Linked DNA regions of Diceros bicornis minor. The protein of the gene in region 2 purifies or fractionates together with the protein of the main gene of each other region. This does not show direct contact. Links are inferred from orthologs where the notes say so. Each region holds a gene or a part of one and is shown on either strand. Other genes may lie near its edges.

Evidence for each region.
Region 1: the proteins of PTPN3 (region 2) and KCTD3 purify together in Homo sapiens (affinity purification with mass spectrometry; 4 studies listed by BioGRID and IntAct, with this or other methods). This does not show direct contact. The link is inferred for Diceros bicornis minor from reciprocal best matches to the Homo sapiens genes PTPN3 and KCTD3.
Region 3: the proteins of PTPN3 (region 2) and VANGL1 purify together in Homo sapiens (affinity purification with mass spectrometry; 4 studies listed by BioGRID and IntAct, with this or other methods). This does not show direct contact. The link is inferred for Diceros bicornis minor from reciprocal best matches to the Homo sapiens genes PTPN3 and VANGL1.
Region 4: the proteins of PTPN3 (region 2) and VANGL2 purify together in Homo sapiens (affinity purification with mass spectrometry; 3 studies listed by BioGRID and IntAct, with this or other methods). This does not show direct contact. The link is inferred for Diceros bicornis minor from reciprocal best matches to the Homo sapiens genes PTPN3 and VANGL2.

The regions. Positions count from the first base shown.
Region 1 is NC_080777.1:17,191,866-17,199,483, reverse strand, and holds the start of KCTD3 (BTB/POZ domain-containing protein KCTD3), read left to right. Parts: upstream 1-4,597; 5' UTR 4,598-5,009; coding exon 5,010-5,092; intron 5,093-6,962; exon of another isoform or gene 6,963-7,067; intron 7,068-7,618. UniProt on the Homo sapiens protein: Accessory subunit of potassium/sodium hyperpolarization-activated cyclic nucleotide-gated channel 3 (HCN3) up-regulating its cell-surface expression and current density without affecting its voltage dependence and kinetics.
Region 2 is NC_080767.1:18,392,791-18,399,680, reverse strand, and holds the start of PTPN3 (tyrosine-protein phosphatase non-receptor type 3), read left to right. Parts: upstream 1-3,870; 5' UTR 3,871-3,940; intron 3,941-4,335; exon of another isoform or gene 4,336-4,489; intron 4,490-4,517; exon of another isoform or gene 4,518-4,780; intron 4,781-6,890.
Region 3 is NC_080743.1:48,187,495-48,194,390, forward strand, and holds the start of VANGL1 (vang-like protein 1), read left to right. Parts: upstream 1-3,894; 5' UTR 3,895-3,994; intron 3,995-4,456; exon of another isoform or gene 4,457-4,941; intron 4,942-6,896.
Region 4 is NC_080743.1:65,045,660-65,053,591, reverse strand, and holds the start of VANGL2 (vang-like protein 2), read right to left. Parts: upstream 3,016-7,932; 5' UTR 2,747-3,015; intron 1-2,746. UniProt on the Homo sapiens protein: Involved in the control of early morphogenesis and patterning of both axial midline structures and the development of neural plate. Plays a role in the regulation of planar cell polarity, particularly in the orientation of stereociliary bundles in the cochlea.

The DNA.
Region 1 (7,618 bases), on a different chromosome or scaffold from region 2:
ATTGGCTCCCTTGTGCCTTTCCTGTGCACAAGCTAATAAACTTTTACTTTCCTACTCCCGTTTGTTGTCTCTCTTGATTTCCATCCTGGGGAACGACAAGGACCCGATGTGCTGGTAACAAGTTCATATAGATTTGCCCCATAATAGTCATAATATGCAACACCATCTTTTAAATCATTCCTCTATGGCTGAACATTCTGATTGATTCTAAGATTTTGCTATTATAACACTGCACAATGAATATGCACTTCTTGATATGCACATGTGTAATATGTCTATAAGACGTATTCCTAGAAGAGAAGTGTTGGGTTAAGAGGATGTACATTTAAAATGTTGATACTCTTGAGTTGTCCTCCAAAAACCCTGTACCCATTCAAACTCCAATGAACAGTGCATGCGAGCGGCCATTTCAACACTGGATTTTACCAAAACTCTTAATTTTTGCCAACCTCATGAGTGAAAATTACATCTTTTTCTGTTGTTTGAATAAATATTTTGGTGTTTTTAGTAGTTATTATTCCACTACTTGCCTATTGATATACTTTCTATATTTTTCATTTTTTGTTTTCTCAGTTGATTTTTTAAATGATATACGTACAATCGCATGCTGTGGAATTTTAATCATTTCTCTGATAGATATTGCAAATATTTTTTCTCATTCTGCTGTTTGTCTTTGAGTTTGTTAAGTGTTCCAATTTATTCTTAAAAAATAAATCATGTACTAATTTTAAGTTTAATGAGTAAGAAATCCCTTCAGATACATCTCACATTGATTTGGACACATCAAGAAGTCATGACCATTTGTTTTATAAAATAGTGAGCCCTCTTCCTTCTCCTGATGAGATGTCTTGCTAATAATTAATATTATTGTGCAATGAGATGAATATTGTTTCATTTATTTATTTCAGGAAAGACAAGAAGCCTTCTCACAATTTTTTTTTTTAGTTTATAAGGTCAATTTCAATGTGTGTGGGGTTGTTCTCACACTACTAAGCAATTCTTGGACACTAGGTTGGTGTTGTACAATTCATCTCAATTCTGACATCTACGTGGAGAAAGTATGAGATTCCACAGGTTAAGGGCTCAGTTCTACACGACTGCCCTCCACTTCAGATGCCAATTGCAAGCCCAAGTTGTCACCTGTGCTTCCGACCCGACTGGCTATAAATCAGAGGTTGCCATGACTCCTTCCTTAGATTCCATTAACTTGCTAGAGCAGCTCACAGAACTGAAAAACTAGTTTACTCACTAGATTACAAGTTTATTGCGAAGAATATTAAAGGATACAAATCAACAGCCAGATGAAGCACACAGGGCAAGGTCTGGCACAAAGGAGCTTTTGACCTCGTGGAGTTTGGAGCCTGACACATGAGAGTGTTCTGGCTCACCAACCTGGAAGCTCTCTAAACCCTGTTCTTTGGGTTTTTATGGAGGCTTCATTACATAGGCATGATTGATTAAGTCACTGGCCGTTGGTGATTAATTCAACCTCCAGCTCCTCTCCCCTCTCCACAGGTGGAGGTTCAAGATGGTGGGACTGAAAGTTCCAACCAGCTAATCACATGGTTGGTTCCCCTGGCAACCATCCCCCATCCTCAGGTTACCTAAAATGCTCTCCAAAAGTCACCTCATTAACATAACAAAAGAAACTGTTATTGCTCTCATCTCCTGGGAAACTCCAAAGGTTTTAGGAGTTCTGTGCCAGAATCAAGGATGAAGAGCAAACATATATTTCTTATTATAGGTCACAACATCAGTGAACATAAGTGAGGCCATCTTGTTACGCTAAATGGCCCCAGCTCCTCCTCTGTGTAACTACTTGCTGCTCTACATGTACTCTAAAAATAAATCACATGCTCTCCTCATTTATGGCCTCCACTTACATATGTACTCCCCAATAGCTTGATAGATTAAAGCTTTGTTCTATGAGTTTCTCTCCAGCAACAGGCTGACCACAAGTGGGAAACACAGCTACAAGTTATCCATCACAGCTGACAGAAGAATGGAACAATGTTATGCCTGCAGCCCCTCACACTTGGAAACCAACATCCCCGGACCGCCTCCTTCCTGCCCATTTTCCCTGTATAACTGCCTCAAGATTCTGTAATTTTTGAAGATGGGTTTTTGAGACATTAATCTGCCATCTTCCCAGTTATGCTGTATGCTGGCTAATCGAATTAAAACTTCGTTTCTCGATCCCTAACTCGTTGTGATTAATCAGCTCAGATTGCAGCCAGCAGAGTGAGCCCATTGCTCCGTAACAACAATATCACAGGCCTTAGTCTAACTTCAAGTTGACTCTCAAATTCATTAAAGGCAAAAATCTGTCAGCAAGTGTTTTTTTACATTCTTCCAAGATGTGGGCCTACTGAAAATTAAATGGCCTTTTCACCACCTAATTCTATCCCGCAAATTTGAAAGCAAAGTTTCAGATCCTGATAGAAGCAGATATTATAGGTTAGAGCAAAGACAGCTAACACGGTGTCAAGTGTGAGGGATTCTTAGTTTGCTGCTACCTGAATCTGAACTGTTACTCATCTTCTCTGTATAAAGTGAAGATAAGAAAGTGCAGAGTGGCCCTGAAATCAAACTGCCTTCAAATTCCTGTTATGCCACTTGCCAGCTATGAATTTTTTTTTGGTGAGGAAGATTGGCCCTAAGGTAACAGATTGTCCTTGAGCTAACATCTGTGCCAGTCTTCCTCTGTTTTGTATATGGGATGCCGCCACAGCATGGCTTGATGAGCAGTGTGTAGGTCTGTGGGAGATCAAGATTTGGCCACCCTGAAATCTATCTCTTTACCTTGGTTGTTTTCTCTAGGGACATTTGACCTCCCCCACTAACTGCCTAAAGAATTTGACATGGTGGCTCCTTCCTGGAACAGATCTATCATGATGGCTGTAAAGATAACGTAGGGTAAATGTTACAATAGGAAAGGCACCAACAAGCCCCTCTTATCAGAAGTTCTGTCTCTCTGGCCACATTCTCTGGATGACCCTGCGAGGAGTTGCCAGACAATCATTTACATTTATAAGGGAAATCTCCATTTGTAAAGGTATCTCCCTCTCTGTTTTGAGAAGAGAGGGGGATGGCCTCATTTCTAGAAACTTATCAATGTGGAAGTTGAGGCCTTAAAGCTGCATAATAACCTTACTCTCGTTTACTGTGCTTTAGTGGTAATCTCCTGTAACTGACTCCCCCCACCCCCAACATCCTCCTTTGTCATTGGCTGAACATGGTATTTAAGACGAGAATTTCTGCTATTGTGTTGAGAAATGCAGTGTCCCTGCTTTCTCCCATGTGTACATGTTATCAAACTTGGTATTATTTTCTCCTGCTAACCTGTCTTGTTAATTATTTGGCCAGCCAGAAGAACCTTAAGGAAAAGGGCAGAGGGAGATTCTCCCTCTCCCCCGACACGTCCATGCCCGGGATCGGTATCGGAATCTTGGGCGTGAATCTTGGGCCTCTGAAGCAGAGTGTGCAAACTTAACCACTACACCACCGGGCCGGCCCCTGCCAGCCATGAATTGTTGAGCAAGTTTTCTGATCATTTAAAATCTCAGTTTTCTATTTTTAAAATAGTGTAATAATAGTTGTGAAGAAAAAAATGACAGAAAATTTCTAAACCATCTAGCATATGATGAATCCCTAGTAAATACAAATTAGCTCTTATTATTATCAACTGGGGTAAATAATATTTATCTTATATCTATAAATACTGCTATCCTCTTTTAAGCCAAATTTGGATAAAGTCATCGCAACACTGGTATATTTGCCAGCAGAGATTTTTAAAAAAATTATGACAGTGAAAATAAAAATATAGCATCATGTAGGTCTTCAATTTGAATTCTTATGGTAAAACTATAACAAAACACAATCCGTGCTAAGAATTTAGTACTACAGACGGATGAACTTGGAAACATAACGCACTGTCTTTGTTAGCTTTTGTTAGCTGGCATCAGGTATTATATACAACGTAAAAAAACATATTTTAGTAGCTACTACTGTTTTGGGTTCCAATATATACTGTTTAAAGCAAAGATAATCAAAATTTTAAAAATTGCGTGTATTTGTGTGTGTCTAACATTAGTTGAGTGATTACTATACTCCAGAAACCTGTTGCCCTACACAGCTTAGGAGTTTTTTGTTTTTCCCTTTTTGTTTCCTACCATGCTTAACCAAAAAAAAAAAAAAAAAAAAAAAAAAAACTGCTTGGGAGTAGGGATGAGATTGGAGACGGGGAGGTAAGGGGTTTGTAAGCGCTATAAAGTTTTAAAATCCCCCAATTTCCCCTGCCGTTGCACTATTTACAGTTCGGCATCAACTTCTACTACCTCCAGGAAACTCTCCTTGCATCTCCCAAATCCACGTGGAGAAGAGAGACAATAAAGATGCTGAGGACAGTTTGCCCAGACTTGCCCTCAATCTGGGAAATCTGACTCCTCGAGCTAGAAATTCTTAAACGTAAAAGGCAGGGGGCTGGGCCTGCGTGGGATGAGGCGAGAGCAGAAATCCCGTCCGGGCGGGCGCCGGGCCAGGAGCACATTCCCCCCGCCCTCCGCGCCAGCTCCTCGCGGCCGGGAAGCTCCTCCCCGCCTTTCCTTCCTCCTCCCCCTCCCTCTCGGCGGCGCGGCGGGCGAAGGCGAGAGCGCTGCGGTATTTTGTCCCGAGCGGCGACCCCTCCTCCGGGCGGGCTGCGGCGTGCGGCGGCCGCGTCCGTGGCAGCCGAGCGCTGAGGAGAAGCCGCGGCCGGCCCGGCGGCCCGAAGGCCGCCAGAGGGGGAGCCCGGGCCGCCCACGCGCGCCGTCGGAGAGGCGGACGCGCCAGCGCCCCGCCTGGCCGCCGGGAAGGTGGAGGAGGCTCCGCGCGCTGCCCGCGCCCCGGCCGCCGCCGCCGCCCCCCTGGCCCTGCAGCCGCCGCCGCCGCCGCCTCGGGCTCCCGCCGCCGCGGGCTCGGCGGCCCCGGCCGGGGAGGGAGGGCGGCGCGCGCGGCCGGAGCCGCCGGAGATGGCGGGAGGGCACTGCGGCGGCTTCGGCGCGGCGGCGGCCGGCAGCGGCGAGATCGTGCAGCTGAACGTGGGGGGCACCAGGTGAGGCGGCGGGGACCCGGCGTCCGGGAGCGTGGGGGGCGAGCCGGGTGGGGAGCGCGGGGCGCGCCAGGCGGGAAGAACGTGGGGCGGCTCTCGGGTCGCTGAAGCCTTGGCTCCGGGCAGGGGGAGGCGGGAGGCCTCCTGGAATCCCCGAGAGCCGGGCCCCTGTGGCCGGGTCGCCGCCATCCTAGGATGCCCACCTTTGTCCCTGCCGCTTTCTAAGGTGCCCGGCGAGGAGGAACATTATATAGCCTCCCTTACTCAACCTCGGAGTGTGTTTGAGCAATTTATTTCGTAGCAGCCTGGCCTTTCGTGGTTTGGCTCTTTCCCACGAACCTGCCTCCCTCTCTCTTCGGTCAACCAGGTGTCTGCTTGCTTGGACGAGAAACAGTCCAGGGTTCTTTTCTTTTCCACGCCTCATCAAGGGCTGTGTGTCATCTCGAAGAATTTCGGTGGAGGGAGTGCAGTAGATTTGCAGGAAGGACATCATGTTTTATTTTCGGAGTTTGTTGGTGCACGGCTCTGAGGGATCGGATCAACTTTCAGGGCGATGTGTCCAGGAACTGCACTTGGAACAGTTGGCTCTGGGAAGCTTTGGATGCTGGCAGCGTGTGGCGCACTCGTAGTAAACAGACTGAAAGCTCCTCTGGCCTTCCACGCGTTTCTATGACTTTTATTAAGCTTGTTAGGGAAAAAAATCATATTTCTGTGGATTTGCTATGGCTTCTGAGTCACTTCTCAGAAATGGGAGTGTGCAGCTCTGTTTGAAGGACGGGGTAGTTGACTGTTAGGCTTGGTGGGAGATAACACGATGAAATGCTCTGGAATATAGTATATTTTGCTGTGCTCGAGAATATGAAAGGTTTTCAACATCTAAGACTTTTAACCGATATTTTTGAAAATGCAAAATGGCAACAATGTGAACCATTTTGATAAAAATGTATAGTGTTTTAATTCTAAACATGTAATAGTTTTCTAAGTGTCCTAAAGAATTCAACATAAGAAACAGTAATTCTTCCTTCCTTCCCTGCTCTTTTTTTCCCCTCATCTCCCAAAGCAAAACTGTTTAATAGTTTAAGAAATTACATTGTTATCGCCGCTGTATAGATACCAATCTTAGGGAAGAAATGGATATTTTTCTGAGATCACATGAAAATATTGCAGGTTTGGTAACTTGCGGATGCAAAAACGAAATACCCTGCAAGAGTAGGCCTTCAATGTGTTAATACGAAAGACTAACACTGTAGTCATTTAAAATCCCTACACTGGTTTCTAATTGCTATCAGTTGTATATTTCTTATTAGGCATTCTAAAGGACATAGAGTATTATGATAAAAATTAAACAGTAGTTATTTATTGTATATTGAAAGCCAGTGGCTTAATTATGAGTGAACTCTTGTTAATGACCGTAGATTCAGTTTCAAATTTTACCTTATATAAAAGGCAGCTATTTTGGAGCTGGAACGTTTTATTACTTACGAAATTTGATTTGATCAGGTTCTCAATTTTTCTAAGTGGTATTAGCAAAGAATACAAAATAAGATAAATACATTATTAGATTAAACAATTTAGAAGACAGGTGAAAGTTGTTACATAGGAATGAGAAAGTAAAACCGCACAAACTTTAGAATTGCTAGGATAAAATAGTTTATAAGTAATGATATGGCGTATAGAAAACAGAACATCCAACTCAGAGTGTTCTAAGGCTATTTTCTTGAGTTACTTTGAATCATAGCCTGTTGCAGCATTTTAGAGCTAGGAGGGATCTAGAAGTCATCTATATCTTGTGCAAAAAACAGATTAACACAGTCACTTAAGTACATTGTAAAAGAAAAAATCCTGATGTGATTGTCTTTAAAGTTGAAGAATTGCCACTGGGAGAACCATCTGTGGTGCAGAAGTGAAGTGGGCTCTGAAGTGATAGAATAAAACTCAAAAGGAGAGTTTATTGTAAGCAGAGAAGCGTATGCCATAGGTAAGATCTTTTTTTTTTTCTTCCAAGAGGAGAGAGAGATGAAAATGGACATACTCAAAGGAGTTATAGAAATGACCAATTTTTATGATTTATTTAACACTTTGGGATGATTCAGAAAGTAGACAAGATGAGGCTTCATTTAGAGTTGTTAATATGCATTATTTCAAAAACAAACTAATGAAGTGAAAGAAACCCAAGATGACTCAATTTGTGATTAATTCTTTTAGAATAAGTATGATTTGAGGCCACATGAGAGATGTCTGGGACCAGCCAGTGGGGGACTCGTGGACAAAGAACTTTGGAGTCAGACAGATAGGGGTTCCAGTTCCCAGCTGTTACCTCTAACTAGCTTAGCAACCTAGGGCAAATTATTTTTTATTGCTTAGTTTCCTAAAATGTAAAATGACAATAATAGTACTAGCTTTACAGACTTGATAAAGGAATTTGAAGTAATAAATGGGAAATGCAAGGATTATTAGCATTATCAATAGTAACATTGCAGAATAAATAATTTTGATTAGATTGCTTCCAATTAATTTAGTAGAAGGCAA
Region 2 (6,890 bases):
GGGTTTGTGGCACATCTTCCTCTCCAATGAAATGACCCTCTTTGGCTTTTTGCGCTTGTTGTTTAGTGATTTCTGGGCCAGGTACTGTTAAAAGAGAGAGCGGACAATTTTTTTAGCTTGTCAGCAGTAGGAGGGCTGCTTTTAGGGTCCTGGCTTTCTCTCTGCAAACATCATCAGGACTATCAGCTCTGTATCTTTTTTTTTTTTTTTTTTGTGAGGAAGATCAGCCCTGAGCTAACATCCGTGCTAATCCTCCTCTTTTTGCTGAGGAAGACCGGCGCTGAGCTAACATCTATTGCCAATCCTCCTCCCTTTTTCCCCTTTTTCTCCCCAAGGCCCCAGTAGATAGTTGTATGCCATAGTTGCACATCCTTCTAGTTGCTGTATGTGGAACACTGCCTCAGCATGGCCGGAGAAGCGGTGCATTGGTGTGCGCCCAGGATCTGAACCCGGGCTGCCGGTAGCAGAGTGCGCGCACTTAATTGCTAAGCCACGGCGCCGGCCCTGTATCTTTTCATCACAGCAAAGTCCTGAGGAGTCCATGGACCATGTGGTTCTATTATGTTGTGATTCTGCCTCCAAAATGATTGCCCAGGGACAGTAATCTAGGTGGGTCCTCTCTGGACTGGCCCCATTATCTGAGACTTGGTACAGTCCTATTCCCAACTGGGCCTCTGTTTGCTCTAGATTTGGCTGGGTTCAACTATATAGACTAAGAAGATTACGTGTCCATCCAAAAGCCCCATTTGCATAAGATTTGTGAGCTTATGATATAAGATCAACTGCCATTGCTGATAATAACATCATGTCACTCCAGGGGCCACAGCTTAAAAGGGTGGACTTTACCATTTTGGCCCCCAAAATAAAACAGTAACAGAGGACCAGAACATTTAAAGGTAATCTGTAGCCTATAAACAAATCAAAGGGTAGAGAAAACAAGGCAAAAAAGACACAAAAGGAAATGATGTGTGTTTTCTCTTATGATCAATATATGGTAAGCTACTACACAGAGAGAGGAGGTATTATAAAACCTAACATCCTGGCTTTGAGGTCAGACCAACTTATATCCAAATAGTGACCCTGCCTCTTAGCAGCTGTGAACAGCTCGTAGAATGTTTCCTCTTCTGTAAAACTGAGCTAGAAACACCCACTCTGTAGACTGACCATAAGGATTAAGGACAGAATATGTGTAAAATATTGATCACACTTGAGCTTCATAATAGCAATTATTTTTGTTATTATTATATTATTTTATTTTAAAATAATAAACATTGCAAACACAATATTGTGACATTAATAGATAAACTTAAAAAGAAAAACCAAGACCACTACCCCCCAAATCAGACTATTTACATTTTCCCATATTTCCTTTTAGTCTTGGTAAATGTGTGGACATAATCTTTACGTAGTATATTTGTGTTTTCAGCTTTTTTTCACTTAACATTGCACTGTAAGTTTTCCCCTGTTGCAATATGGTCTAACTTAGTGTAAAACAGTTACTTCAACAAATATACCATAACCTAATTAATCATTTCTCTATTTGCTGACATGTTTCCAGTTTGGGGAATATTCTTTAATTTTGTTCCTGTTTCTGTTATGCTGATTTGAAATGCACAATTTTTAAAAGATTTAGGTTTTCTTCCCTTAAATGTATGGATATGTTTTAGCTCAATTTGAAAACACTGTTTATAAAAGCTAATGAGTGTTCACCGTGGGGAAAGAAAAGGTGGTTTCAGCCTAGTTTCTGGTGGAAAGCAAATTGAGACAACTGCAAGAATTCACACATCCATTAACCTTCGTTTCCTCATCTCAGCCCTTGGCATACTGGTATGGGGATGACAGATAATGGAGGTAGGCACTCAAGAAATGGATCTTCAAAGTGGACTAAACATGTTCATGTTCTTGATGTCATTCAATCCCCACATGCGCCCCAGATCGAAGCGGTAGGTATTCGTATTATTTGAGGCACAGAGAGGGTAAGGTGCTTGTCCCAGATCACACAGCAGCTGGGAGACAACAGAGAACGCCTCTCCCGGACTCTGAATTTCCAGCTTTCCCACCGAGCTTTGGAAAAAATGCCCCCAAGTCCCGCTAAGAGGCGGCGGGTACAGCGATGGGTCGAGGGCCGAGCCGGCCTCTGCGAGGGGCGTCGCCGGCCTCTCCAGGAGGCTCCTCCTCCCGGGCGCTCGGGCCCCGCCCGGCTCCGAGCATGCCCAGTGCGCTCCCCGCCCGTCCCAGTGGTGCAGGGCGGGCGCCGCGCCTCCAGGTTTTGCCCGGGACCAGAGGTCGGGGCGGGGCGGGACGCGGGGCGGGTCCTGTTCCTGGGACTCCCTGGCTCCGTCGGAATTCACCCGACGCGACGCTAGTGCGACGCCCGCAGCGGTGGCGCTACCCAGCAACATGCGACTCGGGGACAATGACCAAAGTGAAGTGCTAGGTGCTGCCGGTGGCCGCCGGATGGCCCTTGGGCCGACCGGACCCCTGGACCTTGGGCACCTGGGGCCGGACAGGATGGTTCCAGCCATTACTCCACTCCTTCATTCACATATTCATTCCCAAACACTTTTTGAGCACCTAGTGTGTGCCAGGCTGTTGTAGGGGCTGGGACACCGCAGTAAAGACAGGCAGGGCTCCAGCCGCGGAGCTGAAATTCCGGAGGTGAATACACAATAAGGAAGCAAATCAGGAAAAGTCACTTACCCACCTCATCTCCTGCTGCTCTGCCCTCCTTGCTATTGCCTAAGCAGTCCTGCGCCTTAGGGTCTTGACACTGGCTGTTCCCTCTGCCAGGAATGCTCTTCCCAGTTTTTCTGCGTGGCTAAAATGTCACTTTCTCAATGTCACCTCTCAAGGGCCCAATGTGACCACCTTATTGAAAATGGCACTCCCTCTACCCTCAAGTCTCCTTACCCTGCTCTTTTTCCTTCGTAGAATTTACCACCTTCTGATATACTATATAGTAGTTTGCTTATTTGCATGTTTATTGTCTGTTGCCTGCCTCTCTTCCCGCAAACTCCACCAGGGGACGAGATTTTTGTCTATTTGTTCACCACGCGCGAATAACCAGAGTAGGTGATCAATAATTATTTGTTGAATAAATTAATGGATGGTGATAAATGTGAGGAAAATAAAGTGAGGACATGGAGAGTGTCCCGGAGCAGGGGGCTAACTTAGTAAGGGGGTCAGGGAAAGCCTCTCCTAGAAGGGGGACATATGTACAATGAGAAGGTGCCAGCCACGTGAAAAGCTGCACAAAGACGTCCCACACAGAGGAGGGGAGAGGCATGTGCAAGTGCCCTGAGGCTATCCAAGTTCTGAGTGTTTGATGGACAGAAAGGTGCTCCTGGGGCTGCAGGAAGAGAGGTGTGAGATGAGGTGGAAGAGGAAAGCAGCAGCACAGATCAGGTAGGGGGCCTATAAATCTTGGGAAGAGGGTTTAAGCCAGGAAGGTTACTAGTGGAATGGGATGAGCACTGGACTGGGAGTCAGCAGGACCCCTGCTAAACCACAAAGCCGCTGGGCGAGACGACTCCTCATTTCAAAGATTTGCTGAACGCCGACTGCTTGACATTCCTAGGTATGGAATCACCGTGGGCCGGGCACACAGTAGGTGCCCAATAAGTGGTTATGGAGCCAATGCCTGCGTGCATGCGCAAGGGGAGCCGGCGCTGCACGGAGCTCGGCATGGGAGCCCGGGTGGCCCGGGGAGGCGCGTCCGGGCGCGCCAGCTCGGGGCGGGGGCGGGAGCGCCCCGCAGGGCGGCCCGGGCGCCCGCCCCCCGCCCGGCGCGCGGGCCCGTCGCGGCCAGCCCGGCCGGCGGGAGCCGCCCGCGGGCGGCACTGGGCATGCTCAGACGGCGGCCAGGTCGGGCCGCGAGCGAGCTTCCGCGCCGCCCGCACGCGCGACCTACCTGGGCGCCCCGCGCCCCCGGATGCTGCAGGTACGGGCCGCCGCGACCCCCCGGGCCGGGGGCAGGGCGCGGGGCGGCGGGGCCGGGGGCGCGCTCGGCGCCGCCCCGCCCCCACCGGCCCCGGGCGCGCGGCGAAGGCGCGGGCGGGCTGGCGGCCGCGGCCGCCCCGGGGCGGGCGCCACGTCGGGGCGGGGAGGGGGCGCCCCCGCCGCGCTCACCTGGCGGGGCCGGGGCGGGAGGGAGCAGGCCGGGCCGGGTGGGGCTCTGTCCCGGGCGGGCGGCCGGGACGCGGTGGCGGCGGCGGGGCGTGGGCGTGCGCTCCAACCGGGGCAGGGGCGGGCGCGACCGAGCCCGGGCGGCCGGCGACCCCGGGGGGCCCAGCGTCGCCGCGATTGCGGCCCCGGGCGCCGAGGGGGCGCACAGCCCGCGGGGAGCCAGCCAAGCGCGGCGGCCAGCCCTTCTCGGCTCCCCGGGCGAATCCGCCTCTCGGCTTTCAAAGATGGCATTTCCTGGGCCTGGCACGAACTCCAGCGCCAATAAATCCTCCCCGTTCCGCGGGCGATCCGAATGATTTATCAGGTACCTGTGCTGAGACAGCTGCAGTGGGGGGCGGGGTGTATGTGAGAGCGCCCAGCCCCCCGGAAATTCGCATTTCCAGCAACCTAAACTTACTGAGAAGTTGCGGTTGCCTTAAAAATTCATGGGAAGTTGAGACAACTTGACACCTGGGTTTTCCGAGGTGGTGGAAAGAGCTTGTGACTTGGAAACTGGAGACCTCTGTTCGAGTTGGACTCCCCCGTGGCCAGCTGGTGACCTTGGGCGAGTTGTTTAACCTCTCTGATCCTCAATTTCCTCCCCTGCAAACAGCCGGTAATGATGCCCACCTCACTGGGTTGTCGGGTGGATTAAGTGGGATAAATTATGTGGAGGTGTTTGGCACCTTGCCCGGCACAAAGCGAGCGAGCAGTTGGCGGCGTGATGTGAATTTAATTCGTTTAGAGACCCTCGTGGCTCCCATTTCACCAGGAAATTAGAATTATGAAAGCATCTTCAGGGCCTAGTGGCAGAGTGACAGACCCTGTCTTTGTGCCCAGGAGAACTTCTGCTGAAGTCAAGGCTTTGGAAAAACAATTTAGCCGAATTGTAACCTGAGAGCATCTTCTTTAAAAGCAGTTTTATACATTCAGAAACTCCAGAAGTTGGCACTTCAGCTTTACTTGCAAAAGAGCTGTTTTGCAAAATGATCCATCTTGCAAATGTTTAAGCAGATGATGCTTGAAAGTAAAGCCTGGTGAGGAAGATTTCTGTTCTAAAAACCTCCCAAACCCAACTTGCAGTGATTGTTTAGATCAAGGTTTCTTAGCCTCTGGATTGTTACCGTTTGGAGTTTGGTAATTCTTTGTTGTGGGGCCTGTCCTATGCATTGTGGGATGTTTAGCAGCATCCCTGGTCTCTTCCCAGTAAATTCCAGTAGCAAACCCTCTCCCTAGTTGTGCCAACCAGCAATGCCTCCAGACACAGCCAAATGGCCCCGGGAAGGAGGGGCAAAATAGCCTGTCTTCCTCTTGAGAACCACCGATTTAGAACCACTGTGCTTTCTATCATTAGCCTGAGTTGTTTGGGAATTTCATCTTATGTTTTTTACTATAATAACTAACCTTTGTATAGCCTTATAGAACTGCACAGAGAGCATCCACATGGGTCAGCTCATTTAGTTTTTACAACTCCCTCGTGGGGCTGGTGTTATTCACATTTTACAAATGAGGAAATTGAGGCTTTGAGCTGTCGATTACACAGTGTGTGGTGTAGCTGGGATGTAACTCACGTCTTCTGGTTCCACGGGTGGGTCTTTTTCTTCTACATCAAGCTGCTCTTTATTGTATGGAGACTCGCAAATAGATGACTTTCCTGATGATTAAATTATGATGTAAAGTAGACTGAAAGCTAGAACCTTTCTGAGATTGACTAGTTGAAAATTAACCGTAAGCTATGATCTGACAGAGAGTAGGTCGTTGTAGTTAAATATTCTAGTTGATAATGAGCTCCCATAAATCCCACCTACAGTTAATGGAATACCAATTTGCAGAGAATTAGAGTAGAATAAAATGTGCCTAATACTCTGTATTGATCCTGAGTTGTCTCTCCTGATTTGCAGTCTCCTAAAACGGACTCCTGTATGCAAATTAGACATTAGCTGGGGAATGTCAAAGGTCACGTTACTGAAGGCATTTTGGAGTGGCTGAGGAATTCTTGTCAGCAAGCATTTATTGGGCTGCTTCTATATGGTAGATGCAGTGCTGGGTGGGGATGCAGAGTAGGCCAGGGGACCCCAGTGAACCTAGGTGCCTGGGGGGACTTCTCTGCAGGGAGAAGGCAGGTTCTGGCCAGGACAGACACATGGCTGGCCCTTGGGGACAGCTTGGGGCAGGAGAGAGAACCCAAGGTAACACTGAGGCAAATTCAGGATCCCGCACTGCTTCCTCGCTCCTGTCTCTGAGCCCTCCTTTCTGCATTTTATCATAGAAAAGGTATTCTGAGAGCTTTTTAACATTCTCATTCAAGTGTCAGGATCCTTGTCAGAGACAAATCATATCCCCGAAAGAAGTTGGGGTCCCAGGCTGGTAATTGGTCTCTGGGGATTGAGACCAGCTCCTTGATGGTTGACTGTGAACTGGGAGGTTTCACGTACATTATTTCATTTCAGTGTCGCGTTCCCTGCCCCTGCAGACAAGCACACTGAGCTAGCAAAGGGAGTGTGGGGCCAGGAGCAAGAGGGACGAATTGTGACCTTTTGCACCTCGGGTCCAGGCACCCGAGGGATTCCGTTTTCTAGGAGGGACATAAGTCACCAGAGGGACTTGGCTTTGGGGACTGGAGGGAGCAGGAGGACATGAAACCCTCTCTACCCCCTCCCCCAGGGTTTGTGGCAGGTTGGGAGGGGACCAGCAATTTGTGGTCCCTCCTTCTCTACCTAGGAGAG
Region 3 (6,896 bases), on a different chromosome or scaffold from region 2:
CTGGCCCTTCTTTCCCTGTGCCCCCACAGCGTCCCGTCCCGCCTCTGGTCTCAGTCACAGCATTCTCATATTCGATAGCAAGGCTTTGTTCAAGCAGCCGGAGCCTCCCCAGAGAGAGGGACACACCACAGTCCCCCATCCCCTATCTTGCTTTGTTTTCTCCTTAGTACCTGTCACCATCTGACACACTACACATGTTGCTCCATGTCTCCCCACTAGAATTTAAACTCAATGAGGGCAGAAGCTTTTGTCTGTTTTCATGTATCTTCAGAGCCTAGACTAGTAACTGGCACATAGCAACTGCTCAATAAATATTTGTTGAATAAATTGTTGACTCACTGATCAATGTTACTTTATCTAGCTTTGTATCCTTAGTAGTTACATTGCCTGGCTCGCAGTAGGTACTAAGTCTAAGTTTTTGAATGAATGAAAAGATGAATGAATACCATGTTGCCAGCCTGTTTAAGAAAGTTCAAACACTAGTGTTGGGTTCAAAGTTCTCCATCTTCTAATCCTAGCCACTCAGTTTTGAATCCTCTACGTTTCAGCATGAGTCCTTGTCTCGAGCCTAACTGCTCTGCTCACTGCCCTTGACTATATCCCGGACACCGCTCTCTCCACACCCCTGCCCATACTCCAAACAGAAACACCGTTTACCCCCTATTCCACTCATATTTATTAAGCACTTGAGATAAGCCAGCCACTGTTCCAGCCACTGTCCTCCACCTATGCCTATCCCACTCCTTTCTTTCCTCAACGTGAGGACAAGGTGACCCTGACCAGCCAGGCCCGTGTCACTCTCCTTGGGCACTAATAATCTACAGCCTAGCACCTCATCCCTGGTGTTATCAACATATAAACAGATCCTACACATAGATTTTACAGAAAATGGCCCTTTAAAGAATCAGCGCTAACATTTCAAACATTTTGGATGGAAATTTTTCTAATATTATTTTCATGTCTTCCTAAAGTACTGTATATAGAATATCCATCTAACCTTCATAACTCAAGGTCATCACTATGAACACTATTATTCTGTAATGAGGCAGTGTGCCAGGGGGAGTAACTGGTAACAAGAAAGAGCATGAGTTTTGTGATTAAACAATCTTCACAATGACCCCTTTGCAGTCCCTGGGGTTTCCTGACATCACCTCCTTCTCTTTTAATATGTTTCTAATCTATAGTGGGCTTAGGACTCAGATGATGAAACTTCTTAGAAATGTTTGTAAACTATGTGTAAATAGTTGCCGAGTATACGAGAGATTCTGCTATTTATAAAGTCTATCCAATTTAAAGCATGGATTTTGTACAATCTATTTTGTTGATCAGAGGCCTTTCTCACTTAACTGTTTTTCAGGTGTATTCAGAATTCTTGAGGCTGGATAAGTGACTTCTTAAAAAGTCTGCCTTTAATGCATTTAGCATTTTACATATTCTCTTTTGTTGCCAACTATCTTTATGTGCCTATGTCATAACTTTTCAACTAGATTGTTCCCTGGTGAGCTTATTAACTTCCCAAGGGCAAGTGATATTTTATAGTCATTCATTCATTTGCTAAGTATTTTTTAAAGTAACTACTAGGTGGAAAGATCTGCAATAGAAAAAAGATGAATAAGACATGGTATTTATACATTATTGAAGAGTGAGAAGCAAATAACCAATACGAGGTAAGAAGGTAAGTATAAAAATCCAGAGAGCCATGGGAATTCAAATAGGTGAAGAGAATATTTTCTGGTTGGGAGAACCGGGGAAGGCTTTGTGTAAGAGATGGCATTTGAGTTGGATCTTGGTAGACAGGAAGAATTTTAGTGGGTAGCATTCTAAGGTTTGGGAAAGCTGTGAGAATGGGCAGAAAGGGAGAAATATATTCATGAATTTGTGGAACATACAGTCATGCTGGAGTCCTAAGAGCACCCAATACATAGTATCCTACTTCCCTAGCTGAGTTTGGAACAAATGGTTACGTGAGACAGAGGAGTGGCAGATGGAGCCCACTTATCACCTTTATTACTGAGTAAGGTTAAGCTGGAGAACTGGACTTGAGGCAAGAGCTGTATAAGCCTGCTGAAACCTGGAGCAATGCTGACTCACTTTGTGACAGACAGTGGGAGCCAGGGCAGGCCTCCAGGCCATACAGACCATCACTCAGGTCCTGAGAAGTTGTCCACCTCTTACCTTTTAAACTTGAATACTTGAGATTGTTGGATCAAAACCAGCAGTAGATGGCATTTAAAGGTGAATTTATTATCTTAAAATAGAGTTTATTGTGCACTACCCCTCTTTGCCACAAAAGCACCACATGGCAAGGTAGCTTACTTAAACTATAGTGAATTAGAATCACTTTCCACGAACATGCACGGAGGATCTGTATATCACACGGCGGCTATTCAGGAGCAGCAGAGCTAGAATTGGAAATCCCTGGCCCATTGTAACTTTGAAGGGTTTACATTTTAAAGATGAAAGAGACACATTTTTATAAAGCTCTACATTCCTGTATCTGAGCACTGATTCAGGTGGATAGACAACCGGCTTTACCCTTAAGAAGATGGCTGCCTGGGTCAGCCCTAGCCCTCTGGAGACAGGGGAGAGGTTTGTGAGGGAGAGAGGCAGATGTCCTGGGCTGCCAGAGTGAGCAGTGAAGCCTGGTGGCGGGCTGGGGAGGGGTCAAGATTGACTGCATTGAACATATGTCCTCTGAAGAAGTGCAATATATGGGAGAGAGAATGGGACTGGAGGGGGTGGGGAAGAGGTGGGGCTGGGAGTGAGGGCTTTGGGGACTCAAGCTCCCTGAACTAGGCTAGTTCAGGGTGGGTGTGTTTCCCCACCCCAACTGCCCACAGTACACAGTACTTCATTATACACCATCTCGGCTCGAGAACTGGGTCATGTAAGCAGCTTCAGGTCCCAGCCAGATTCCACACTCTCCACGTGGATCCCTAACCCTATCCACACAAGATATTGAAGTAAGAAGAATGCAAATATTCATATACATAGTTGACAGCTGTTCAGTGCCTACTGGGCACAAGCTACTTTCCATAATCCTCACCACAATCCTGCAAGGTTGGCATTATCATCCTCTCCCACTTTTCAGACAGGGAAACAGACTCAGAGATGGAAGCAGACCTGGTTGAATCAGGATTGGAACCTGGGCTGCCTGCCTTCAGAGATGTGCTCTTCCAGTAGTTTCTATGAGACTGGGGTTGGGGGGCAGCGACTGCTCTGTTAGGAGAGGAGGAGGGAGAGGGTTGGCTATGGGGGCCCGGGTGTGTATGGTTATTTGCCTGGTCATTTCCTGGGCTGCATGTGAGTTTAAGTGGGAGTGTGTATATGGGTTGAGGTGGTTGTATATGGATATTTGTGGGTCAGTTCTTGGAATGTGTGTATACGAGTGTGTGTGGGGCGGTTAGCCTCCGGGCCGTGTGAATATGTTTGTTGGGGCTCCCGTGAGGGCAAACGGGCTTGGATTTTGTGCATGATTGTGAGTATGTGTGTATGGCTGTAAGTTTGAGGGGGCAAGTACGTTGGGCTGTTGGGTGGGTGTCACTCCCTGGCCATGTGTTTATGATGTGAGGGTGAGTGAGTGAGTGAATGTGAGTGAGTGTGTGTGTGTGTGTGGGTGTGGGTGTGGTCAGTCCCTGGGGTCTGTGTGTGTAGGAGTGTGCACGCACGCGCGTTTGTGTGCGCGCGTGAGCGTGCCCGGGTGTGGCGTGGCTGCGGGGTGGGGAGAGGCCGGCCGGCCCCGCCCTCCGCTGCAGGTGGGCCGGGCCCTCGGCGGGGCCGGCAGCGCTCGCTGCTCTTGGCTCGCGGCCGCGCCGGGCTCGCAGGGCTGGGCTCGGGCTGCGGGGCGGCGCCGGGACAGGAAGCGGAAAGCAGCAGTGCGGCGGTGGCGGCGGCGGCGGGGCTCTGCCTGTACCGGAGCCCAGCGCAGGCCGCAGAGCCGGGGCCGCCGTGAGCCGAGACCGCGGGCCGCGGAGCCTGCACGGCCGGCGCGGAGGTGAGTCCCGCGGGAGGCCGGACGCGACGAGCAGCGCGCAGACCTTCCGCAGGGAGACGCCCCCACCCCGGACCCTGCGAGCTCCTGAGCCCTCCTCCCGCACCCCCACCCCAGACGCGGGGTCACCGCCTCCTCCCGCCTCTGGCCCGGAGCCGCCTCCCCTCTTACTGACCGCACCCCGTGTTCTGCTCCCGGGATCCCACTCCTCTGCCATCCCCGCGAGGTGCGCCCCTCCTGCCCCTCGCTCCGCTCCCCGCCGCACACCGCTTCCTGGGTCCCGGCATTCCCCCCACGCCTCGGACTCCCCCTTCTTCCCGGCTGCACTTTGGGGTGCGCCCTCGGGGTGCGCGTTCCGGCCGGCAGGGAGTGGCCGAGCGTTCCTGGAGCACCGGGCGGCTGGAGCGGCCGTGCGAGCGGGGGCCGGCAGCCCTGCGCTCCCCAGGAGCCGGGCGCGCACCGTGGTTCCCACCCCGCCGCGCAGCTCGACCCCGTAACCGCCAGCGCCCGGGGGCCGCCCGGCCCTGGGCCAGAAGCCGGCACAGAGCTGGCCTGTGTTCACACCCCGCTGACAAAATTGAGCCGGCCCCGGAGGCCTGGGGGGGGCGAGTCCGGTTGCGCATCGGAGAGCGCAACAGGCAGGTAGGAGTTTACTTTCAAAAACGCCGGGGTGGAGCAGAGGCGACCGGCAAGTCTGCGCGGAGTGTGCCACTTGGAGAAATCTCACCGCGCCGGGGCAGCCTTCGCCACGGGCAGGACCTCATTTTCTCCTGCAGTCTTTGAACTGCCCCAAGCAGCGCGCCCGGAGAAGTGTGAAGCTTTATAAAAATTTAAACGTGTCGGTGCTGGAGGCAGGAGCGGGGCGGAGCCGCGGCCTGGCCGCCCGGAGATGAGCTAGTGAGACTTGGAGCCGAGAAATCTGTTGCTCAGTTTTCACATCTTCAAACCAGGTATAATGCCCACGCCGCGAAGGTGTTGTGAGCTCGTTTAGCTGCTCGTTAAGAGATGTTAGAGCGCATTATTATGATGATTGTGTGGCTGGCACGTGCATTTTGTTAAACCCTTTTGGCGGGGCTGTGGTTGGAAAATGCATGTGTTTTGGACACTTATTCCAAAAGCTAGTAAGCTGTAAAGAATCTGGCATTTTCACTGATATGTTTATAAATTTTATAGGGTTGCTGGAAAATATTATAACTTGTGTCACCAATCAACAATGCTAATTAGCATTCTCCATCCAGTGGGTGGGTTGATTACACAGCTCCTAGGCTATTTAAGTGAGATGGCAGAAACTGTCTGAATTCAGGGAGACGTAATTAGTCATTTTATGTAACCACTAATTAGAGTTTTTAGAGTTAAATTAAATCAATGTGATATCGTTGGGGCTTTGATTTGTGGGAGGAAACTTTTATTCTACAGTTCAAAGAAATAACACCACAAATCCATGAACATTTAGCATTCCCAAACTTTGCTGTCTCTAAGGATAATTAGGGAAAACATCTTGTGTGAAATTCTCAGAGTGTTGATAGTGTGACTTGGTTACGACTTAATTTGTAAATAAAATGGGAGAAATAAAATTTATTGTGTTATGTATTTGAGCAACAGGACAAAACCATAAAGGAAAGTTTCTTTACAAGCAGCAATCCCGTGTCATCCTGGTCTGTTGAAGAAACAGCGCTGGGTGAAGAATGGTCTTCTCCTCTCCCTCCCCTTCACAAACACACCCTTTTGTCACCCTAGACTTCAGCCGCATTTGGGGTGCATGGGTCCTTACCACATTGTATTTTAATAGCAGGTTTCCACCTTTGGGCTGTGAGCTCCTTAGGAGCTGGAACTGTTTCAGATTTGTTTCTTTTTTCCTGGACTCCCCACAGTGCTTGGGACACTGAACCTGTGAGTAGGAGTTGAAATTGCAAAATTGTTTGTGGGTTATGTGTGGTTTAGGACAATTGATGATTGTTGCCTACCCTCCTCTGTGTAAATAAACAATTCTGGTAATTGCTACATTGCTATAAATTTTCCTTAGCTAAGAGCACAGGTTCTGGAATTAAACTCTCAGAGTTCAAGCCCTGGCTCCAGCGCTCACCAGGTGTATGACCTTGGTTTCCTTAACTGTAACATGAAATTAATATTTTATCTCCCTTATAAGGCTTGTTTTGAGCATGAAGTGAGACATTGCATGCAAATCACTTAAACAGTGCCTAACACATAGTAAGCACTCAATAACTGTAAGCTGTTAGATTATTATCGCGGTCCTGTCTCTGTAAAGTGAACTAGCTGTGGTTAGGAGACTAGCTGTGTATGGGCATGTGATTTGGGCATGGTACTATGCCATTTTCCAGAAGGTGGACAAGACAGGATGAGGTGGACTCGAGGCTGGACCATGTTTCTGCTAGTGGCTTTGGTCTTGCTTGAAGCCTGAGGAATGGTGCATGTGTGCTCTGCTGCTGTCTGTCCCCATCAGTGTCCTTCTGAATCCTGCTTATTGGACAGCGGTCATTGGACCTGGCACCATGAGATTTACAGAGGAGGTAGTACTTGTGAAATCTATTTTTCTGAACCTTAAAAATCTAACGGGACAAGGGAGTCACTTGAAAACAAATATACATCATAGAACCCCAGACGTGTTAACCATTCACAGCTCTCAGACATCTATACCCAGCTGCTGGAGGTGTTTCAGAGGTAATTAATGACTGGAGCCAAGAGCAGTTATTCTGGGAAGCTGAGTTGAAATCATTGGCAAGACAGGTAAAATGAAGTTGACGTTTTCTTTCCTTGAGAATAGTGGCCCAGAATCATTCATTTATAAGAGCTCTGTTGTAGTGAAAGAATCATTGGGTTTGTCACAAATGCCACAAGCCCTCTGATCCTCACATCAGTGACCTGGATGGTGTTTTATGGTTTATAG
Region 4 (7,932 bases), on a different chromosome or scaffold from region 2:
CTTCCTCTGCAAAGCTTCTGCTAGCCAAGTTCACGCCTCCTTTAACCAGAATGACCTCTTGGAAACCAGATGAGCAGATAAAAGTCTGTCCTGCTCTAGGGCCAGGGAAGAGGGCCCTTCCTCAGATCTCAAAGGATTGGGGGGAGAGGGGTCACACCAGAGAGGGCTGCCCCCGAAGAATTAGAGGAAAGAGAAGGCAGGAGCAAGACAATGGGGGAGGAGTGGCCAATGTGGCCACTAGTTCCAGTCCGAAGTACTTTCAGAGATGGCACTTCCTATTGTCTGACCACAGCTCCTCCTCCTTGGAAGAGCACCCCCACCAGCATGTCATTCATGTAGTGAGAGTACAAAGAGCAAGCAAGGTACCCCAGAAGCCAGAGCACAACATCCCAGAGACAAGTGCCTCGTTCACCCTAGCAACCCAACCCATCAGACAGATGTCAGAGAATCATGCTTTTTTTTTTTTAAGTCTAGTCTTTAATTACTCTGCCCCTATCCCTAGTCCCAACATTTTGTAACTCCCACTACTCTTATCCCGAGGGCCTTAGGAAAGGTGGGGAGCCCTGAGGACTAAAGACGGAACATTCCCATTGCACATGCCCATTAGGGACTCTAACATTCCAATTCCAATTACTCAGAGACCCTAATGGGCATGTGCAATCAAAGCCTCAGCTCTAAGAACTGGGTGTCTCCATCTAACTTCTGGCAGCAGGAGGAAAATGGCTGAGAGAGTGAAATGGGCGAACAACGTGTGCATCCTAAAGAAGATGGCTGGTCCCTTTTCTTCACCCCAAAAGAGAAAGGACAAGAGAGAGGAGAGGGAAAGGAGGTGGGTGCTGCTTCTCTGGGGAGAGATAGATCCACTTCCACACTATCATGATGATGAGTACAGCTACGATGGGTGCCTGCCCCTTCCCCAACACACAGACATTTGCCCTCTTGCAAGCTCATCCCCTAATCCTCACCCTCAGATCTGGCCCCAGACCACAGCTTTATCCCAAACATGCTTCTTACCCGGTAAAAGGGAAACTCTGTGATAAATCACACAGATACACTTCCAGAAACTCCTGGAGAAACACCCTCCACTGCCCTCCCCAGAACTCCCATGTGACCTTCTCAGCCCCATGGGCAAGGAACCCAAGTTGTTCCTCACCAGATCTCATCCCTCCAGGCATGCTCCTTCCTCTTGCCTCCATCCCATACCAAAATCCCAAGACCCTCCGGGAACTGTAGGATCCTGGTGGCAGAGCAGAGTTAGCAGGCTCTGAAGCAGCAAACTCCAAGACAGCTTTCCAAGAGAATTGTGGCCTGAGGGGGCTGAAGTTGGGCTAGGAAGCCAAGAATGTAGCCTCTTCACCCACCAGAACCCAACCTATGATGGTGAAGGAGGAAGTCCCTCTTATTCTTCTCCCTGAGTCCTCCAATCTCCCAGATTCCTCTAGGACTACAACAAGAACCCCTTCCCTATTCCCCACAATACACCCTTTTCTAGAAAAACCCACCTCCCAAAATAGGCACCTCATAAGATGGCCCACTCGCTCCCACCCGTAGGTCTCAGATACTTAAGGCACTACCCTCAAACCCAGGCAGGGCCATCCCAGAAGCCTCGGAATCCTCCAGACAACACTCCCTTTGGGATCTCTGCCAGGAAAATCTGCCTGCAGAGGCAAAAGGTAGTTCCCCCAACACTCTCAAAAACACACACACCACTTGAGGCAGGCACACAGACTGGTACTTATATCTATCAACACAGGTTACACACAAGAGAACACAGATTCATTCACAAAGGTGCACACACACCTATCCAGGTATGTCCCATTCTGCTCTTACACACCCACCTTCCTCAGTACCTATACACCTCTTTCCCATAAACCCTCCCCAGTACACACACATAGATGCACATCCTTTCCTCAGAATGTACACATAAATACATATCCAAACACATGCAGACACATAGTCAGCCGCTTCCTGGTTGCACGTACACTCAGGCACCGAAAAACAACTATACCTTCAAACCCAGGGGCCCACCTGCAGGAGCATGCAGCACGTCAAGGCATACACACTCAAAAACAAAGAATCATGCACACTGATCCTCCACCAATCCTTTAAAACTCACTAATGCAGAGCCCACAGCCCCCTAAATAGGTAAATATGAGTGGGGAGAGGGATGCCGGCCTCCTGCCCCCTGGGCCCGGATACAAAGTGGGTCTTCTGCCACCAGCTCCATCCTAGAGCTGCACACACACCTCTTCTACTCTCCTTGGCCAGCTCCCCAGACTCCACATCATACCCTGAACGCACACCTGCCCCCATGCCTCCCCACACTCCCAAGGTGTGTATGCACCCCTAAACACCCTCGTCTTCCAAAACCTCCAGACTCTGATCCTACCACTGCCTCTCCCCCCACCTCCAACACACTCCCAGTCTCCGGATTCAACCGGCTCCCCCGGGATCATTAAGGCCCCTGCCCGGCCCGGGGCCCAGGAAAGTCCCCGGCTCTCCAGGCCCGGGCTCCGCCCCCTCCCCACGCGCCCCTTCCCCTCCCCAAAGTTGGGGGGGCACTCTGCTGTGCAGTGGGCGAACACCGGAAAGGGGTGGCCCAGAGCCCCTTCCCCCATAAACCACCCCCCTCGCTCGGGGGCTGGGCACCCCCTGGCCCCTTGCATGATTGTCCTCCTCTTCGGCTTCTTTTTTTCTTTCTTTTTTTTTGCAAACTTTGCCCGCGCCCCCTCGGCCCGGCACTCACCCGCCGCTGCGAACTGCCGGGTGGGCTCGGCGGGCGCCCCGCTCGGCCCGGCGCCTTTGTATCCGCAGCGCTCCGGGTCGCTCCGAACTCCGCGCTCCCGGACGGGCAGCGCGGACGATGGGGGGATGTTAAGGGGGGCTCCTGAGTCTGGTCACCCCTGTCCGTCCCAGACCGCTGCCTCTTCCCCCTCAAGGCCCCGGGGGCAGGGGGCCGGGGGGAATGGGGGGCGCTCAGGCTCCCATGGCGGGACCAAGGATCAAGGAATCAGGGATCAGGAATCAGATCAGGAGCCGGCGGCGGAGGGGGGAGGGGGCTCAGGGGGAGGGGACGAGAGCGGAGGGGGTGCAGGGGGCGGGGGAGCGCGCGCTCCCGGGTGCCGCCTCCCGGCTGTTCCCGCACTCGCCGCCCCTCCCGCCGCCGCGTCCATTGTCTGCGGCCCGGCTGTTCCCGGAGTCGCCGCTCCCCTAGCCTTTCAATTCCAGATGCCCGGCGGCCCTCCGCGATCCTGGGAATCAGCGGCGGTGCTGCGACCCCGGAGCCGAGTGGTGGCCAAGGGATGCCTCGATTCCTGGCCTTGGCCCAGCCTGCAGCCCCTCCGGGGACTGTTTTCCTCGACCCCCTGTCGGAGACCGTGGCCCCAGACCCCCGGGGACGGCCGTGTTCAATTCTTCTGGGCCACATACCCATCTACACGAAATCCAATGGAATCTGGGACGTGGAAAAATTGATTTTTCCCCCCTAGGGCTGCGAGAAGGGAGAGTCGTCCCTGATTTTAATTAGTGGCGAGAGACACTCCCCTCTTCCCGTGCATACGGGGATTTCCCTGACGCCAACACCACCACATCCCCCTGCTTCCAAAAATAATTTAATTACTCGGTTCTAGCTGCGAGCGGCGACCGCCCAGTCAGTCTGAGACGCTCCCTCATTAACACTTTTTCCTCCCCTCTGGTTTGAGCGTTTAGATTAATTACAAAGGGAACCCTGCCCTAGGGGAGCGGGGGAGGGGGGAGACGCCGAAGGCGCCAAGGAGTTTGGATGAAGGAACAGAGGGGCCCTTCTCCCAGGAAACCTCCCGGAGTTAAAATGCGTTGGTCTGTCGGGTCTCTAACCCCAAGTAGGCAGGGCTCTCGGCCCCAGAGGTTTCAGATACCTTGGAGTTGAGGGTACTACACGGGGATTATAGGGTATCACAAAATATTCGCCATAATGGGGGCATTTCTGCGTTAAAGTACTCCAAGAAACCAGTTGAGGTTGATGAAGTGGGGCAATAGACTGAACCCACCAAGAGTGACCCCCACCATAGAAGTCTGGGCTGTGGGAAGTCCATGTTCCCCTTGGAGTGAGTGAAAGCAAGAGTATTATTATATTATCATTAGTATTATTGCTGTGCAACCTGGCACTTACCTAGAATAGTAATAAGTACTTCAAAAGCACCTTCACACACTTTTCCCCAGGCAGGGTAGGGCCCTCTCAACATCTCAACATCCTCCAGCTTCCAATCCTGATCACTTCTCACCCAACCCTGTGATTAGGTCCCAAGGAAGGAGACTTCCAGCCTCTGTTCCTCACTCGTTTGGGGATTTTTGCTCCTCCCTGATGAAATTTTTTTCTGAGACCTAATCTCATCCCTTTTGGTCATCCATTCTAACCTCCCCAAAGATGAGGACAGAGCCATCTTCATCTGCATTGTGACCATTCAAAGATGGAGAACCTTTAGAAACACTTTCCTTCTCCTTATCCCAAATCCTTTCCTCTCCTCGCTCCGGGTTCCCACACTGTGGGTCAGCAAGTGACTCAGCACCAAGACTGCATGAAATGTGCAGAATCATCATTTCAGGTACCCAAGTCCCTGCATGCATGCACGGACTCAATTGCTTGGTGCCTGTCATGTGCTAGGCTGCACTGGGGGTCCCACAGTGACCATGACAACCAGGTGTATGAGGGATGAGTGGCAAGAGAGCTGGGGAGCGGTAAAGAGAGGTAGGGCTAGCTTAGGGTGTTCCCAGCCCTGCCCAGAGCACACCCCCAGACTGGGCAGCAAGTGTGTCATTTGACAGAGTGTCGGGGCTGCCCTAGCTGCCAGGGCCCTGGCTGACTATCCAGCAGGTTCAGTGTGAACTGTGTTCTCGTGATGCTACCCTGTTTCACAGGCCTCAAAAGGGTCCAAAGAATAAGAAACACAGCTTCTGATGCCAGAATTGCAAATCATTCTGTAGACTGGCCCACACCTAAAGCTCAAAACTTGAGTCAGGAAGTCAACAAACGAAGATATCAGACATCAAATTGGAATAAGCTCCGTCCCTCCTTTCTCTTCTCTGAAGAGGAAATTGGGGGCTTTCAATTCTATTTCTGTAACAAAAGCACTGGATTACAGAGGAGAGGTCCACCATTAAAATCTGATTTAATGTGTCCCATGCAGCAATTCCCCGGACTGCCCTCCACCCTCATCACTAGGATGGAAACCCATCTGGATTTCACACATCCTTAGTTCACAGGGTGAGGAAATGGAGACCCAAAGAGGAGGCCCACGTACCCTAGGGCCCAGGGGACCTAGCCTAACTCTTTAGGAGGGAGCTGGGCACTGAGATGACATTCAACCAAGATTTTCCCAAAGGGTCCAACTGCAGTGATAGAGGGAGGTCAGGAGCCTGAAGGACAACAGAGTGGAACAGATTGAACTTTGAATGCACAGCTCCTAGCTTTGAGGACATGGGCAAGCTTCTTAATTTCTTTAAGCCTCAATACCTATATATAAAATGGAACTAATAAGGTGACGGAAGGGACCCCCTCTGCATACCCATAGTGCCCCAGTCCATTCCCAATCAAAGGTCCCCTCTCTGTTAAGTGCCTAGGGGATTCCTAGTACTTTGGGGAATCCTGCTCAAGGAAGGGGGCTCCTAGACAAAAGCTAGAACCCTCAGTAAAAGCTCTTTCAACTCCACAGCTCATGCGCCTGAGGCAGCAGGGATGTAACAGGCAGACCACAGGCCTCTCAGGAGCCCTGGGAGGTTGCGTCTCTTGGGAAAGATGCAAAGGGCTCAAAAAGCGGCAGTGGACCCTCTCCAAGGGAAGGTCCCAGCTACAGAGAAATGCCTGCTTTCCTTGCAGATGAAGCTGTTCCCAGAGGTCAGGCCCAGACCATGGTGGCAAAGGTTAGGTCTTCTACTCTGACGAAAAGTAGGGCCCTTTTACAGCACTGCTGCTGAGAGAGGGGAATCCTTAGTATCTCGCTCAAACATAAAAAGCTTCACACCCTGGAAGCTTTTTGATGGCAGGATGGCCATCAAAGTTTTTAAATGTGAGTGGTTAGCAATTTCAGCCACCTCCCAGGTACAGCTGACCACAGTGGTGTACCCACATCCCAGGCTAGAATCACCATCTTCTTGCAGCCCTGCTGATAAAACTAGGAACAGTTCAATCTTCCAGGATAATTAGAGCTCTTTCCCCAGCACCCGCTTTCCTAGAACGGCTACTCTCAGTGTTTAGAAAAGTATTTCCAGATCCAGTCTACACTGTGAAACAACTGGATTTTTTTTTCACTTTTAATGAGAAACAAAACAAATAACAAAAAAAAACTTTAACTGCTTAAGAACTCTGGGATGACTCAGGGTTATTGTGAGGTGTATCTCTCTCTCCGGTAAGCTCTAGCTCTCTTTGAGAACAAACAGTGAGCCTCATTTATTTCTATGTTAATGGCACATAAACGTCACTGAGTTGGTATTAGTTTCCTTCCCTTCTAATTTCCTCACCTGTCCCAAACCTCTACCACTCCCTATTCACCCAACCTTTATCAAGTGTGAGCTTCCTCAAATCCCATCCCGTCACCGCCAATCTAAAAAGTTACCTACAATTAAACCTCTACCTTGAGTGAGGTTTTCCACCATGACTGCAGATTTTAATCATCTGGGAAGCTCTGAAAACACACCAATGCCCAGGACCCATCCCAGACTAATTAAACCAGAAACTTCCAACGTGTGGCCCAGATGTTGGCTTTTTTTTTCAAGTTGCCTCAGTGATTCTAATTTGAAAACCACTGAATCAAACTCTTTCTGAATCCCTTCCTCCTTTCTTGGCAGAATAAATGCCTCCCACCTCCCTTGCCTAGGACTAATCCCTCCAGGTGTGCGTTAGGTCCTGTCCTTTCCCACCTCCATTTCTCATCTTCATCTAGCAGAGGTAACAAAATAAAATACCTCCCTCCAGTTTCCTTTTGCTTCAGCCCTTTCTTTCCTTTCTTTATCATGCAACCTTCTTAAAAGAGTAGATTCCTCACCACCGTCCTTTACTCCTCAGCTCCTCGCAACCCAGCCATCCTTTTACTATCTTTCCTCCTCCTGACTTCAAATATTGATATTTCCTGGAATTCAGCCTTTGGACCTTTTCCTCCTCACCCTGCATGCTCTCCCAAAGTAATATCATTCTCTCCCATGGCTTCAGTCACTGCTTACTTATGAATCCTCCTAAATCCAGATCTCTCTGCTGAGCATCAGACTCATATTTCCAGCTTCCTACTGGACCTTTTAACCTGATTATTCTTTGGGTATTCCTAATGTAATAGGTTTAAAGGGAACACATTATCTTCCCTCCACCCCCATCCCCTTGGCTTATTTAGACCTTTTTCGCTTCCAAATTTGTATCATTCCCTCCCAATCTATCTTCCTCCCTGTTGCCAATGTGATTGTTCTGAAAGAGAAGTCAGACTGTAACTCCCTTGCCTAAAACAATCCAGTGGCTCCCTGCTGTCTACAAGATGAAGTCAAAAATTCTTGGCACTCTATGTAAGGACCTTCAGTCCCTGACTCTCTCCCTGCGGCCTTATCTCCTGTTACTCCCTGTGCACTCAAAGCCCAAACATTCAACACACATACATTCAAACTATACCCATCTACTCATTGTTCTCCCAATTTGAGGCTCTATTACTGCTTCTGCCTTCACATGGTGTTTCCTTTGCCTGAAATGCCATCCCCGTCCGTCTCTGCCTAGAAAGTTCTGCTAATCCTTCCAGACTCAGCTGTGGTTTTCTCTTTGACTCCTCCCCAACCTTCCGGAACAATGTTAGATGGCTCCTCCCTGAGAGAGCCTCCTTTGTGCTCCCAGAGCTCTGCATTTTATGACATTGTACGGTAATTTCTTATTTACATATCTGTCTGCCCAGCTGGTCTGTGAGCTTCTGAAGTCGAAGAAAC